Linked DNA regions of Lonchura striata. The protein of the gene in region 2 purifies or fractionates together with the protein of the main gene of each other region. This does not show direct contact. Links are inferred from orthologs where the notes say so. Each region holds a gene or a part of one and is shown on either strand. Other genes may lie near its edges.

Region 1 (7,948 bases), on a different chromosome or scaffold from region 2:
AAATCTTGTTTCTCACCAAATAAAGCTTTTTTATATTTACAGATAATAAAAAAAAAAAAGCAAAACAAGTCCAGTTTAAACTGCAATCAGTTCAAATAGGGCACATAAAACAGTTACACAAACAAAAGAAATTCAAAAAAGAGAAACACAATCAACAGAAGTACCCACCATTCTTTATTCCCCTGATTTATTGTAAAATCTGACATTAAAACTTCTAAAATACAGTCCACACAAACAGTGCAGAACACTGTGTATTTATCTTCTATATTTTGTTTCTCTTCAGACAGGCATTATCACATTTAGCCTGTACTGATGTATTTCCCAAACCATGAAAGCATTACACTGTATTCTTACCCTAGAAGTTAAGTCACCAGTGATGACAAAACACATATTTTTATTAACTCTATGCATGCTGTCACGTGTACTAACAAGCATATCAATGGCTGCACCTATTCCACATAGTTAAGAACAGGGGGCAGCAATTCTGTCAAACACTAACCTAACAGGTTGATTTTTGAGAAATCTATCAGTGGCCATGACTTAGGTACAAGAGAAAAGAAAACCCAAACTAGTTACAGTTATGAAAATGTTACAGATGTTAATCTAGGTTACACAATAAAAACAAAATATAAAATTCTAAATGTGAACTTACAATCACTCTAGTCAGTTACCACAGACAATTGCACTGTTACCGTTTTGAACATAGACAGTTTTTCTATTAAAACTTCAGCTGATCTGATTCCTGTGGAGTTCTATTTCCATACCCAAGACTATCAAGCACATACCATAATTAAATAATTAATACTCTTTCCTTGCATACCAAATGTTTTGCTCATGCCAACACATTCAGCAGAATTAAAAAACTCTATTAAATCCATCTCCTAGATACGTGCCAGTTCCTGAAGAATCAACAAATACTTGATGAACTAAGTGTATAATCCAAAACAACAACTAACTGCAACCCTGCCACATTAGCAAAAGTCTCCCTTCTTTCAGCGTCATTATGCTTGTACCTTCAAGCAAGCACAGGGCAAGAGAAGAGCTGCACACTATCTTGTTTTAAAGTCATTTGGAAGACATTTCCTCATATCCACTAACCTAGTCCATTGGAAATCATTCTGAAACCTCAAATAGGAAGCAGTGGACTGATATTCCTTGGAAACCAGCTCTGGAAGTTTACCCATTTTCATGCTCCTATTTCTTGACAGCAGAGCAGGGTGAACATTTAAATGATGCTCATAACAAGCATGAAAAAAAAAAAACCCAGCACTGAGCCTTCAAGGTTGAAGTGCTGAGACCATAAAATCTCTTCTGCTGCATTATTTTGCTCCTCTTCTTCCACCAATTCTGTTTTCATATTATTTCCCTCACTCCACATTCATCTCTTCATCCTTACCTCATTGCTTAAACCAAGTCTTCCTTGGCAGATTTCTGCAGAGTTCTGCGTACTGGATGTAACGAGTAGCTGGGGAAAACCTCTACTAACGCTCCCAAACAAAACTCACCCTTCATCTTCCCTCTAAAAATCCCCAACATTCACGCATTTTCTTCTACTGCAACAACTGACAACACTGAAAATACCAAGAAGTACCACAGCAACATTTAAGTTCAGATAACTACTTTACGTACTAATCTTTGAGACGCCAGAGCAGAAAAGCTTTCTGTAACTAGCTCAACACAAGGGCAAAGTCCCACAATTAAAAGACCAGATTACATGCATACCAACGCCTCTGGCTCCTGTGGATTTGGGCGGGTGGTGCTGCCCCGTCCCTGATGCTCTCTCGAAGGCATACAGAAAAAAAAAGAAATAAAAAGGAGAAGAAAAAAAAAAAAGGAAAAAAAAAAAGGTGTGTGTGTGGGGGGGGGGAACGATAAAAAACAGGGGATAGGATGTGGGGTGTGGACGATTTACCTCTTCCAGCAGCGTGACCGTGTTCCTGCAGTTCTGCAAGCGGGTGGTGAAGCTGGAGGTGGTCGGGGAGTTGTAATCCTCTGTGGTCTCGGCGATGAACTCCGACACGGTGATCTGGTCCGGCATGATCCTGCCCCACCGGTAAAGCCCAGGAGAAGCCGGGCACACAGATCCGGAGAGAGAAGAAGCCAAGTTTCGAGGGGAGAGGTGAGGGAAAAAAATAAAACGAAAAAAAAAAAAAAGCAGAGGGAAGAAGATGTTAACAGCCAGCAGAGACCCGCAGCATCAAAGCACCGGAGACGCAGAGGGAGGCTGAGGCTTCGCCCTCTACATCCAGCCTCTCCCCGGCCGCCCCCTCCTCCTCCGGGCAGGAGGTGAAGGGGGTGAGGCCCCCGCACGGCGCCCCTGGCTCGGCCCCGCCGGTGGGGAGCGCTCCCGCGGCCGCCTCCGAGCAGCCCAGCTCGGCCCCGCCGCGGCGCTGCGGGGAGGGCGGCGGGAGGGGAGCGGCGACCGCGCCGGGCTCAGCCCCTTTCCCCACCCGCGCCGACCCCCCACGCCCCCCGGCCCGGCCGCTGCTCCCGCCCGCGCCGAGCACTGACTTGCGCGGGCTCGGGCTGCGCCCCCCGGGCGCGGAGGCGGGGCCGGGCCGGGCGCGGCGGGGCCGCGGGGCCGCGCTGACGGGCACCGCCGACGGGCACGCGCCGCCCGCCGCCGCTGCGCGCCACAACGAGGAAGCGGCTCCGCGCAGGCGCGGCCGGCGCTCCCCTCCCCCGGCCCCGCGGTTGCTGAGGGGGGGAGGCTGCCGCTCTTTCGTTTTCTTATCATTAAAAAAGGCTTTCTGGTGGGAGCTGACAAGGTCGGCGGGTGCTGGCCTGCAGTGCTGTCCCTAAGCGCGAGAATGAGCGTCCCGTGCCTTCTGGCGGCGCGGAGAGGAGAGACCCTGCCCGCCTCAGGCTGCGTGTCCGCTCCCGCTCCGGGGAGCCCCCAGGGCGGGTCGCGGGGTCTCTTGCTTCTTTTTTACCCTTCCCGAGGTCCCTCACAGCCGGTCGGAGCCCCATCCGCCGGTGATGTAGAGCCGAGGATTCCTGCAGCCACCGCTGAGGGAGCCACCCCTGTCGGCAGTCTTGACTGCATAGGTTTTTACGCTCCTTAGACTTAGTTAATTTTTAAGACGTCCTGCTACGATTTAGAGAAGCCCTTGAAGTTGCTACTGCTGATTTTGAGTAAACAGTTCTGTGCCTGAGCCTTTCCGGAGCAGAGCTGTCTCGGTGCTGCCGTGGCCGGGTCGCAGAGCCCAGCGCGGTGCCCTGAACCGCGGGTTACAGCCCTGTGTCCGCTCACAGCCAGCTTTTCTGAATAGTTAACATGTCCTTTAGCCATTGTTGTATCGTGTAATTCAGGGAGCTGACAGATAGACACTTTTTTTTTTTTTTTTTTTTTTTTTTTTAGCTTAGGTTTGGGGTCCCATATGTTCATTACTAAAGAAGGCTAAGTCTCAGGAGGCTCAAGTAATTGTGGTCATCTGCTGCATCAGTGTGATTTATTTAGCCATACTGTGTGATTTCCTCCTTATATTTGGGATTCTCTACACAGAAACTGGGCCATTCGGTAAATATTCTCAAATCTGAACAATTTAGAATGAGCACTATTATACAGCTGTATCCATTTCAAAGCATTTTATGCTCACTGTATAAGCACCTACCACATTACAATGTGGTTAGGCTTGTACATGGTTTCATATATAATTCTAATAAAATGCCTGTGCAGCTCAAAAATAGTTTACAGTATCAACTAAAAACTGCAATGCCTGAGTAAGGATAAAAAGGAGATACCTGATTTGAGTATACCCATAAAAAATTATTTCTGTGCAGTTCTATTAGCAAAAATATGACCAGCACTCCTGAGCAGTGGTCCTGCCTGAACATGTTTCGGTGATTTCATTGCCTTAGTAGAAGCCCTCCATACGGCCATGTGATTGCTGCTGCTGCTGCTGCTTCACGTGATCCAGCTTTCTGGCACAAAGGCTCTGAGCTTGTACAGATGATTGTTAAACGTCATGAGACTCTGAAAGGTAGAGTAGGCAAGAGGAGGAGGAAGCCAAGAAAAGAACTGTGTGGGAGTTACAGTGAGAAATGGATTTCGGCAAAAAAAAATGAAGCGCTGAAGAAGCAGCCGGAGAGGTAGGAAGAAAATCAGTTGATGATTGTGTTCATAAGAGCAGTGGAGAAGGAAGAGAGACCAAGAAGATAAAAATGGCTGGTGGCATCAAAAGCAGTATGGAAAGGAGAGTAAAGAACTGGCTGAGGGGTTGGGCCAGGGAAGAGCTGCTGGTAACAGCCAAAAGAACTGTTTTGGCCTAGTCTGCTTGGAAACTGGATGGGTGAAGGATATGGCCTGAGGGCCAAGCAGGGTCTCTGTGGTCATCCCCTGTAATTCCTGCTGAACAGCAATCATGGGCTGTCACTCAGCTGTTCCTAGTGGCCCGAAGGTCAGCCACAGTTTTCACATTAGGAAGATCCCTGATCCCTCGCTGGCAGATTTCAAGTGAGGATAAATCTATCACACTGGTGGACAAACTGGTTTAATTAATTTGGTACTCTCACTGTTAGGGTTGAATTGTTGTTCTTCAGACTGTAGTTATTGAGCTTGACCATTAATCTCTGGATTGTAAAATAACCTCATCTGTTTTCCCAAACAAATCACCCCAGAAGCTGAACATATTGCTAAAGACATAATTTCTTTCATACTATTTCGTGAAAATTTATACTACAGAGTGGAAGAGCATATTCAACTAAGAAAGGTAGTAGACAGGCCAGGGAAACTGTGGCAGTGAAGAGTGACAGAACTGAAGGCAGAGCAGAGTAAGCGCAACTGAGCTTTTGTGTTTCTTCATCAGGGAAAAAAATTGTCTTCTGGAAAGACATATTAAATGTCTTAAGAAAAAGAATGAATACAGAAGAATACTGGTAAATAAAGAGAATGGCACAAGGCCTAAAAATGAAAAAGGAAGATAATAGTTGCCTTTTGGTCTGTTTTTGACAGTTCTGAAATTGTTTACTCTGCCAGAGAGATACAGTGCTCTGTTTTGCTGCTTAAAAGCAGCATTTCCCCTTCCCCTATTCAAATGTTAGTAAAGAAAATAGCCCTATAGGTATGACCTCTTTAGACTTGGATTATTTTCATTTAAATTCACTGGAAACAAGATCAGTTAATTAATGTGATGTTAATAAAAATATACTAGCTGCCTGTAAAAATGTGCTAATATTTAAACTAGTCAAATTATGTAAGTATTTCAAATAGCATTCAGTGAATTTCAGATTTAACCACGTTTCCTGTTTTGAATTGCAATCAGTATCCGAGATTCAATTCTAAATTTGTAAGATGCACCTCTCTTTAAATTGTCACTAACTGAAATTACTGTTTCACTTCACAAATGTCAAAGAATAATCATCAGAGTGTGAAAGTTATATTTCACAGTGGCTGCTACAACACTGTCAGTCTGTGCTAGATCCTGGGTGAGGCTGTGCCACAGCCTTTTTCTCATGGAAGGTTTGCCAATGAGTTATGCTTATCTCAATCCTTTTGGTATTCTGAAGTGAAATACATCTTGTCCATCCTGGACAAGCTAATGCCAGTGAGGATCATGCAAGCAGCACTGGAAATCACTTACTCCTTACTGCTGATGCACTGCAGCCAAGGAAGTTGTGTTGTCTTGCCATCCCACCCAGTGACTCAGTCTATAAATCCACTTGATTCCCTGGTTTTTATTGTGATTGCAAACAGAAGAGTTAATTACAGCAAATTCTGCAGTACTGGTGATAGTTGCCATGCTTAGGGAGAGTCTAAGGAATATTGCAATGATGAACTACCAACACAGGTGTTAAGCAATGATAGTATTCTTCATTTTATAGTATTTTGGACAGCTTATATTTAGATTGAAATCATCAGTTCGCTTACAGGAGCTGAGCAGGAGTGAACAGGTGATGATGTTGTCATCACTGTGAACTTTGCAGCATGGCCAGTATGTGCCAGAGGTGAAAAGCTACATGGCACTTGCACAGCTCTTCACATCATCAATGCAATTAACTATTGAAACCATACAGCAATGTGGTAGAGAACAGCAAGATTATTTTTCCACTACAGATAAGGAGCCAGATAGATGAGATTGTGGCCCTGCAGTGTTTGTGGCTGTCTAGCTTGAGTCATGCAAAGTCAGCTCTTCAGGATATCAACACCTCATCTAGGCTGAAGCTGGTGGTGAATCTCCCGTGGGATGTGATTATGCTGCCTGCAGAGAGCAGCCCCAGGACCAGCCTGAGGTCACACTTCCCTGCTGCGTAGGAAGCAAACTCAGAGATGCAAACTCAAGGTGTGGTTGCTGCTTTTGGAAACAAGCTTGACCCGAGTCCCTGGCTGTGCATCAGTGTGTTGTCAAGCGTGCTCAGATGAGCTGCCTCCTGGCCATTTGCAAGCTCTCAGTGTGGCATGGAAGTGAGTTCTTAGCTGGAGAAGGAAATCACTGCACACATCGGTTCTGTGCAGTGACAGGATTAGTGCAGGTGTAGTCATGGCAGGATCTCACATGTCAAATTCAAGGGGTTTTGATTCTCAAGTATGAACATGATGCCTTTTTGCAAATACTGGTTTACAACTACATTCATTTCTTGACTTGTAATGTTTCCGTCTTGGCTATTACTGCGGATAAAAGTGCTGATTTTATAGTATGACAGACAGTACTGTTTAATTAAAACATCAAATCATTGAAATGCACATGCTTTTCTTAGTTGTTGTTTTTATGCTCCTTAGCATCTCCACAAACATGGAGAATGTCACCAGCTCAACAGCAAATAGCAACAGAAGTAGTGTGCTAAAATGCATAAGGAAAATATCCTTAGGCTGTGTTTCTCTACTATACTGCTATCCTGAGTATGTTTGTGGTTTGACGTTAGATTCATCCATTTCAGCTAAACACAGCAGTCAGGAGTACTTCCCATCCTCTTCCTGATCCTAACTCTATGAGATCATCGTATCTGTTGACAACAGACATCCATGGCATTTGATACCTCAAAACTGATTTGAGGTTTCCTGAAAAAAAACATCTATATGGTAAATTGCTGTTCCTACATTTTTATAGTCTTATTTTCAGATAACTTCTAACAAAATTAATGGGAAAGGCTTATTTAAATTTATGGCCATAATACTAGAATATCCACAAATATTTCTGAATATCAGCTCTTTTCACATGAGTTGGATGCTGGGCTTAGGGGATAAAAAAAACTTCAACAAGAATCTCAGCAGGATGATTTATGCTTTTGGTTTTGGAATATCTCACGTGCTAAAACTCAGTAAACTTTTTTTTGTTAATGGAACTCTGATAGTTTTGTTTTGCAAAGCAAAACCACCCCATTTAAGTGAGGACAAGTAATATCACTCTGTACTTCAGCAGGAAATGTTTAGTCAGGAGGCATTTCACCTCCAGGAGCTGTGTCCTCTCAGAGGATGGTCGGACGGCTGACAGCCTTGCATGAAATGTAACAACTATGTATTTTGACCCGCAGCATGTTTGCACATTTAAGATCACACAAGTGCATGGTGTACTCACAGGAAAAGGCAAAGTCTATTTTAAACACTGAAGCCTACATCACACATTGTGACTGGTGCTAATTTGCTTGAAGGAAACGTGCATGGTAAACTGCAGAGTATTTCTACTTGAGAAAGAAGGCTGTTGACTTTGACATTTGCAAACAAACCTTTGAAATTATGTTACCGGGACTGAATAGTCTGGTAACTTTCAAGTAAAAGAATACTTCGTGCCTGTGTCACATTGTTGAACATGAAGAAGACCAAAATCCAGGTCCAGCAAACATGCTGATTGCAGTTCTGTGGTTTTTATGGGACAGTATCTGCTAATGTGACTTATGAACTGCATGAGCTGTGTCAAGAATTTGTGCTGCTGCTGTGACTGTGTTGAATGCAAGAATCAGCTGATTTCAATTTTAATACTGGCATCTCCCACCATTTGTCTTCCTCTCATAT
Region 2 (7,686 bases):
AAAGCTTCCAGCAGTCACTGGGACCACAAGTGTTGGAAAAGCAGCTTCACTTCCCCTCCACTCCAGGGACACACTCTTGACAGTTTATTTGGCCAAGACACGTCCCCCACCCCACAGAGCTCCTCTGGAATTATCCCAGAACAAATTCCTGGTGGATCAGTATACCCCAAAAGCCATACCACAAAGTCTGGATCTGTCTCCCAGTCATCAGCTCCATCATCCTGGCTGACAGACACGGTGTGGCCTGCAGTAGCCTTCCACATCTGCAACACCAGCAAGAGAAGCAGGGTCACACTCCACTCACCTGCCAGCTCATTTGATTCGTGCAGGAGCTGACACAGGAGATGCAATCCAAAATCCCTAATAAAGTATGTTATTTAACCACATCACCAAGAGCTGTGCTTGCAGTGAAAACAGGTTGACCTCTGGAGCTCAGGCTGTCTTCTCAAGCTGGCTTACAAACCTGTTTAACTCTCCCATTTGCACTGTAAAAAGATTAGGAGTGATTGCTGTTTCAGGAGAACAAAGTCACCTTTCTTTGCTCAAATTAATGTGTGTGTGTCTCCTGTGCAGTCATTGCACTCAAAGACTTCTGTTCACACAGGTTACCAAGCCAACATGCACTTCCAAAGACTGCTGCTAATTCTGGATCCTGTGCATACAACTAAGGTGTAGGAATAGGTAATTTTTTTTCCCCAGGCACTAAAAATGGTGAGCACAACATTGTTCTTCACCTGCATTACACCTGCACAAACTCTTCTGCCGTGCATGGAGTTCCAGCACGGTGACTGAAATCCCAACAACTCTAAGAATTTGCACACAGTCCAGACACTGCTCCAACAACAACAGAGGAGTGTCTGTGCTCCTCAGGTATCCCCAGTGAGACATGGTGCTCACAAACTCAGCACCTTGTCTGGATTTCAGGAGAAACAGAGGGTGACTGCAGGAAGCAAGACTCATTAAAAAAGCAAACGATGACTTCTAGAAACAACACCCAGCACTTTAAAGAGGTTAATGATTTGGGGCCTCTCAGTTTCTGGAAACTTTATGCCCCACAGAGTATCAAGTTGGATATTTTTAATTAACAGTTCAGCTAGTTAGCAGAATTCCTGATCTTCCTGGTGCTAGTGGCTGGATTTTACACCCTTTATTCAACATAAATCAAAACAAATGCAGTCTAGAAAGCAAAACTGAAACCTCAAACTGCATGCTGCCTGTTCTCCCAGCTTTTTCAGAATACACTTCAGAGAAAAGATTTCATTTTTTCTTTGCTATTCAACTAGAGTTCAGTTTTTTAAAATACCAGCATTCTGTCCACTTACCTTTATACTTGTAATTAGGAACAGATTACAAAGATAATTATAATCGGCTATTTAATTCACACAAGCATAATTCAGTGGGTGGGATGAAAACTCACTCCCTCTTAAATGCATAGCTAATAATCCCTGGGTAAAGTCCACAGTTCGTTCTGTCAGGCTCGTTTTGCAGCCTAGCAGAATGAGCTGATGAGCCACTTTTTTGGAACATTTCAGAAATTTCAGGGCTGGTAACATGATTGAGAATAGCTGGAAAACTGACAGTCAAACACCAGGGTAGCAAATGCTGGAGTAGCCTGGAAGGAGAGTGCAAAAGCAGAACAGGTGACATATTAACAGTATCAGCACATTTCCCCTCATGTTATTTCAGGTCTCCCATCTCCAAATTCCCCTGGCAGCTAAGGAACTAACGTTTATAATAGTACCTCATATCCAAAAAGCTTCTGAGACAATGAGTTTTTAACCCAAACCTTTAGAACACAGGTGGTTTAACATCATCCTAGAAATACTTTGTCTAAAGCCTTATCTCACATGATTGTGTCGGATTGTCCTACTCTTTCCTACTAAAATCCAATCTCTCACCAAAAAAACCCCAAAAGCCTCGGAAACCCAAAAGCAGAACCCAACCAGCTCAATAATGAAATTCAACATGGGTCCAAGCTCTTCCTAACTTCTCCTAAGGGGGATGTTTTGTATCCATCTTTACTTGCTCCATCACGCTGTGCAAGATGTTTAGGAATGGAGAGCTGACTCACGTGTGCTCTGTATGGTGAATTTCTATATGCTTTGTGCCAAACACAACTTTTTATCCCCCGAGTAATTGTTTCTTGTGCTCACTTGATTTATGTATTTTGTTCATTCAGCTGTGCTTGGACAAGAACAAAAGCTGGATACTTTAGGTTTCGCTGTTTCTTCCTCAAGCTCTCACAAACAATAGCCAGGGAAGAAGGATTTCACACGCAGTCCCGTGCAAAGTCCAGCGTCCACCGCGACTCTCTGCAAACCACGCGCACAAACGCCAACATCTTCCCACAGCTCAACCCCGCACTCTGTGCATTCCACAAGAAGCAGAGCAGCCCCAGCGAGCAGGAATAAGCCTGGTTTCCGCCTGCTATTCCAGCACCGATCCCAGGGCAGAACGAGGAGAAACACGATCTATTAATGACTCACTGGCTCACGCGGCCATGATTCCTGAAGGAAGAAGCAAACGCTACGGTTCGAACCCAAACCCAGGCTAAATATATGCCTGGAGTGTACGCGCTGCTGTGACTAATCAGCACACGCATCATCCTGCGCAGCACGGCAGCCTCGGCAGCAGCGCGCTGCCGGGCCGGGGCCGCGGGGAGCCGGGAGCGGCTCCGGGCTGGCCGGGCCGGGCCCGGCACCGCGGGCGGGCGCTTTGCCCCACCGCCGTGGGGAGCCCCCGCCGCACACGCTTCCTCTCAAGTTCCCAGCTTCGCAGTTGAAATAATGTTTTTTTTTCTTTTTTTAAAGAAAGGGAATGACACGGAGCCGCGACGCCCCCCGGCTCTGCCCTGCGCGGAGCCCCCGGCCCGGCCTCCCTTCAGCCGCGCCGCGCTTACTGTGCTGCTGCCTCCCCGCCGGTGCTTCCCGGGCTGGCGGCGGCTGCTGCTGCAATTTCCGCTTCTCCCGAGCTCCCACTTCCTCTTCCCGGCTCCAGGTGGGAGCGGGACGGGCTCGGCTCCGCCCCGCCGGGAGGGGCCGCGCCGGCGGCTGCGGGAGCGCCGCTTCCCCGCGGGCCGCTCCAAGCATCGTTAATACTTTTGTCTGGAGCGGCTCCGTCCCCCGCTCCTTTCAGCCGCTCAAAAAATGCAGCCTCAGTAGTTGTAAAATGGCCACAGGGGAGTTGCTGGTGCAGTTGTGAGCATCCGTCTTCGTCTTCTAATGCTCACTTTTGCACCGTCGTGTTTTGGAAATCGCATCTACTCCGTCCCCAGGGGTTGCCATCGCTTTTTATCGGTGGGCAAATGGTTCCCCCGTGGCTGGGATCCGATCCAAATGAAACGGATGCAAAATGGAAACTGGGGGTTTAAAACACTGTGGAATGAGGTACAGGTTTGTTTGCTGTTTGCGTCTTCTAAAGGAGGGAAAGACCCCAAGTAAGGATATTTCTAGTGAAAAAAAAAAAAAAAATTACCGATAAACACACAAATTCAGGCTGTAATAGAGGGCAAGATGATAAAAAATCGAGGTGAACACAAGAACAACGTAATTCCAAATGTAGCCAGTTCATGTCATAAATAGGTCAGTTACTTCTTCCTGGATTACATGCAGTGCAATTTACCCCGTAAAATGAATACAGCATATTTGAAAAGGACTGAATTTATTCTAAAAACATTGTCTGCTGAAGAACACGCGTCCAGAGAACCTCAGTCCTTTAGGCATTACTTCTGTCTCTTCTGCGTCTTTTTGGAGTCTTCACCTCTCTCTTCAACTACAGGTAGAAGCAACAACCACATTTCTCTATCACTTTTCACCCATCTATTCCAACATCTACAAAACCAAAAGGTAGTGACACCTCAGTTAACTACAATTTCCCTTTCCCTCCCAAGGCCTTACCATTAACAAACAATAAAATTAACAAAATGTACAATACCTTGTGCACCAAAGCTGCAACCCTGATAGTGGGAAGTGAAAAAATTTCCTTTCAAAGGCAAAGTGACTCTTTAGTTTCTTTTAAAAGTACCACTCCCAAACATAGTGTCAATTGTTATTTACTTGAGAATTAATTTTGCTGCTCCTCCGTCTCAACCAAGCTCCAAAAATTCTGCTTTGAACTAATTTACCTGTTCTTCAAATCTTTGCATAATAAATCACTACTGTCCACAAGACAAGACACTGCTATAGCAGTTTAAAAGACAGAGTTAAAACATCTGTTTTGAGAGTCCCTGTCCTTTAAACATGCAAAAATTGCAAGTTTAAAGTTCACTCAGATAACTCTGAAGCATGCAGACAGGATGCATAGTTTAATTTTTACAGCCCTCTTTCCAACTGAAGCCTTTAAAGACATTTGGCAATTTACAAAACATTGTATTTAATCAAGCATTATCTAAAGATCACTGTAACAGACCCAGGTGCCTTTTCCACGTGCACAGTTTTCTTTCAACAGGGTGTGTGGGAGTTTGTAAAATTGAGCAAGACACGTTTTTCTGGATCTCTCCAGCACAGTTCTGCTGTGTAACTCAGAAGGAAGTCAGCACACACAGTTTTGCCAGTTTGTGAAAGCTTTCACCATTTCACTCATTTATTCTACCTCTCACATCAGTTCCATTGTTTCATAACAGTTAAGGTTTTACAGCCTTGAAATAATAAATGCATTTTCTGTTCACATTTTACAAGTCTATCCCGCATTGGTTTCACTTTTGAGAAGCAACAATACATGACTTTGAACACCTACTATCACTCACATCAGTGACCAGCAACGCCTAGGCAAGATTTCTCTAAACAGAAAAGTTTAGCTGAGCAGTGAGCTAGGATTTCCTTCTGCAGTTCCATTTTAGGTTTTTTTTCTAGAAAGATAGATTCTCTAAGAATATAAAAGAGACTGCAAATGAACAGACAGCAACTCGTACAGACAAGCCAGACAAACAGAGATGCATCACTGAACAAAGTTTAGAGCCTCCATGGCAGTGTTTCTCCAGGCATTTCACATCCTGCTGTTGATTTGGAGGACATGATGAAATAGGCTTCACTACTCCTTTCATTAATCTGCAACTCAATGAAATGGTTTACAAATACATCAGAATTGACATGAACAGCCCTATGTGACCCTATTTTGTACTGGTTCCCTCAACTCCTATGTTTCTCCCCACATATCACTATGGCCATGATTTCATTTTATTACCAAAGCAAGTGTTGCTGCTGTCTAGGACAGCATTTCCATCTTCACCATGTGGACCAGAATACACTGAAGTTGTGTGTCAGGTCTGGTTTATTATTTTAAAAAGCAAATCATAGCTCTAATGATGAGCAGAAGTAGGCAATAAAGCATTTTTTTTTCCAGAAAACTGATATTAATGCATGTGAACTTGAACAATTCCAAAGAAAATGTCACATCTAACAGAATATTTTTGCTACTGGAGAAAGGTCATCATTTGAAACCAGATCTACAGGGCAGCAAACAGTCATTAAGATGCTTTATTGACAATATCCACACACTGCAAAAGTGTCTGCCTGCATACAATTAGATCTTAGCTTTTCCATAGTGTTTTATTGGCAGTGGAAAATGCATCAGTACTTTATTGAAAGCAATAAATAATACTGTGATAAAAATAGTTCAAAAGTAGACTGTACATATTGTTACATAATCTGAAAATACACAAAAGATTAATAGAAAAACAGAACAGTAACAATGAATTTCAGTTTTACAAGCAAATTAAATGTGGAAAACAAAAGAAAAAAGACATGCTATATATATTGTTGCATAATAAATAATGCACCATCTGAAGAGATTCTTGCTGGCTTTTTAATATGCCATTTACAAGTGTCAGATACATTTTCTACTCATACAATCCAAAATGCCTACAACCATCCAAATTAAAGTCCAGACAAGTCTTTAGAACAAGTTTACAAAACACATAGGGTGACTTACATAAGAAAAGTAAGGCCTTTATTAGAAGATGCACTGCTTTAGTTTTCAGCCCATTGTACCTTCATCTTGCAGTACTCATTTGACAGGAGGCTGCAGTGCTTTAGGATTGGTCCATTAAAACTGGTTCTACCAGCATCTTTCCACCAAGTGTTTTCAAGCAAAAAGGTCTAGGACAAAAAAAAAAACCTCTCTGTGGCCTGTGGCTCACGACCAGGAATCATTATGAAGTCAATCCTCCTCAGGGAAGGAAAAGCAAAAGTAAAACCAGTCCTCGGTTTATGGCTTGTTTTCAGTCACTGCGAAGAGTCGCTACACAAACACAGCAGAAGGGTATTAGGACTGAGGCAATCACTCCTACAACACGTCCTGCAGGGTTAGGAGTTCCTCCCAGCTTTTCAAACCAGTTCTACTTTATTTAAAGACAAATTGCCACTACTTGACACATCCTCTGTGTGGAAAGGTACAGCTCTGAGAAGAACAACACTCGTGTACCGTTCGTCCTACGTCAACAAAGGCTCACCTGAAAAAAAGCTGGACTTGTTTTCAGATCTAAGCTAAGAGCTCCAAAAGACAAAATATATACTGCTTGGTGTCATGGTACTTTTACAAATGTATTAAAATCCTTTTCACCTTCAGTTTCATTATTAAAAAACAATGATAATTACAGTTACTGCATAATTTACAAAAACCCTATATTGCTCATAGGGACATATACATACAAGCATTACAGTACATTCAGTTGGAAAGACTAAAATTAGAATTAAATAAATCAGCAATGATTTGATTTGTAGACCGAATAGAAACAGAAAAAGTAAGTAACTATATAAATGACAAGTCACATAAATATAAGAAACATTTAGATTCTAAAATATTTTCTCTATAGTACTCATGAATTCATTTGCTAATTAAAAACTCTGTAATAAAATATCTCAAAGTGTCCATTTAACAAGTATTTATTAACAGGTTAAGGGTTCCAAATGTTCAAAATGCTGCATATCACCGGTAGAAATAGTGTGGGTAAACTGTAAAAACAACAAACAAAAACAACACACAAAAAGAAAAAAACACAGAAGATTCAATTAGCATGTTTTAACCACCATTGCATTCCAAGATTGTCACAAACAGCTCAGCAGTGCAGCAGTGATGCACTGAATAACTGCCATGCCATGTTGGATATAATTTTATAGCCTCCTGCAATCTCCAGCTGCAATGCAAATAAAGCAATGAGGACAAATGTTTCTGCCTAGAGGATTTCCATCCCATGTCATCTGACTACAGAAAATCCTGATCTAGGGAGAATCTGGGGGAGAGACTTAAAACTTAAGTTTCTTGCAACTAAAAATACTTTAAAGAGAGCCCCTGAGATTGTGAACTGACATGAGCTCATGTGGTCTGAGCTGCTACGTGCAGGAGTTTCCTCTCTCAGCATTCCACAGATAAGAACTCAACTCATACATGCAAAAAGGTTCTGAATTTGAGGAAGCAAATATATGAGTTGGAAGGGATGCTACCAGTAAGAAGAAAGAAGCTGCAAGCAGAGAAGACAGGCAATTTACAGTCCATCAAAGATATCAGTGAGGGGGAAAGATCCACTGAGTTGATTTTTTAAAATCATGAGAAAATACAGCAGAGGCTGCTGCAGAAACATTCCAGATCCTGGAGAAACACAGGACTACAGCTCTTTCACAAGCCAGAATACATGGATTTTGTGTTACAACACATCAAGCTGCTTTTTATCAGCAGCACTGCTCCCCAAAT

Evidence for each region.
Region 1: the proteins of CTTN (region 2) and ASAP1 purify together in Homo sapiens (affinity purification with western blotting; 6 studies listed by BioGRID and IntAct, with this or other methods). This does not show direct contact. The link is inferred for Lonchura striata from reciprocal best matches to the Homo sapiens genes CTTN and ASAP1.

The regions. Positions count from the first base shown.
Region 1 is NC_134603.1:9,923,576-9,931,523, reverse strand, and holds the start of ASAP1 (arf-GAP with SH3 domain, ANK repeat and PH domain-containing protein 1), read right to left. Parts: upstream 3,062-7,948; 5' UTR 3,047-3,061; coding exon 2,934-3,046; intron 2,580-2,933; exon of another isoform or gene 2,512-2,579; intron 2,043-2,511; coding exon 1,913-2,042; intron 1,816-1,912; exon of another isoform or gene 1,792-1,815; coding exon of another isoform or gene 1,723-1,791; intron 1,417-1,722; exon of another isoform or gene 1,397-1,416; intron 1-1,396. UniProt on the Homo sapiens protein: Possesses phosphatidylinositol 4,5-bisphosphate-dependent GTPase-activating protein activity for ARF1 (ADP ribosylation factor 1) and ARF5 and a lesser activity towards ARF6.
Region 2 is NC_134608.1:54,885,612-54,893,297, forward strand, and holds the start of CTTN (src substrate cortactin), read right to left. Parts: upstream 3,026-7,686; 5' UTR 2,900-3,025; intron 264-2,899; coding exon 180-263; intron 1-179.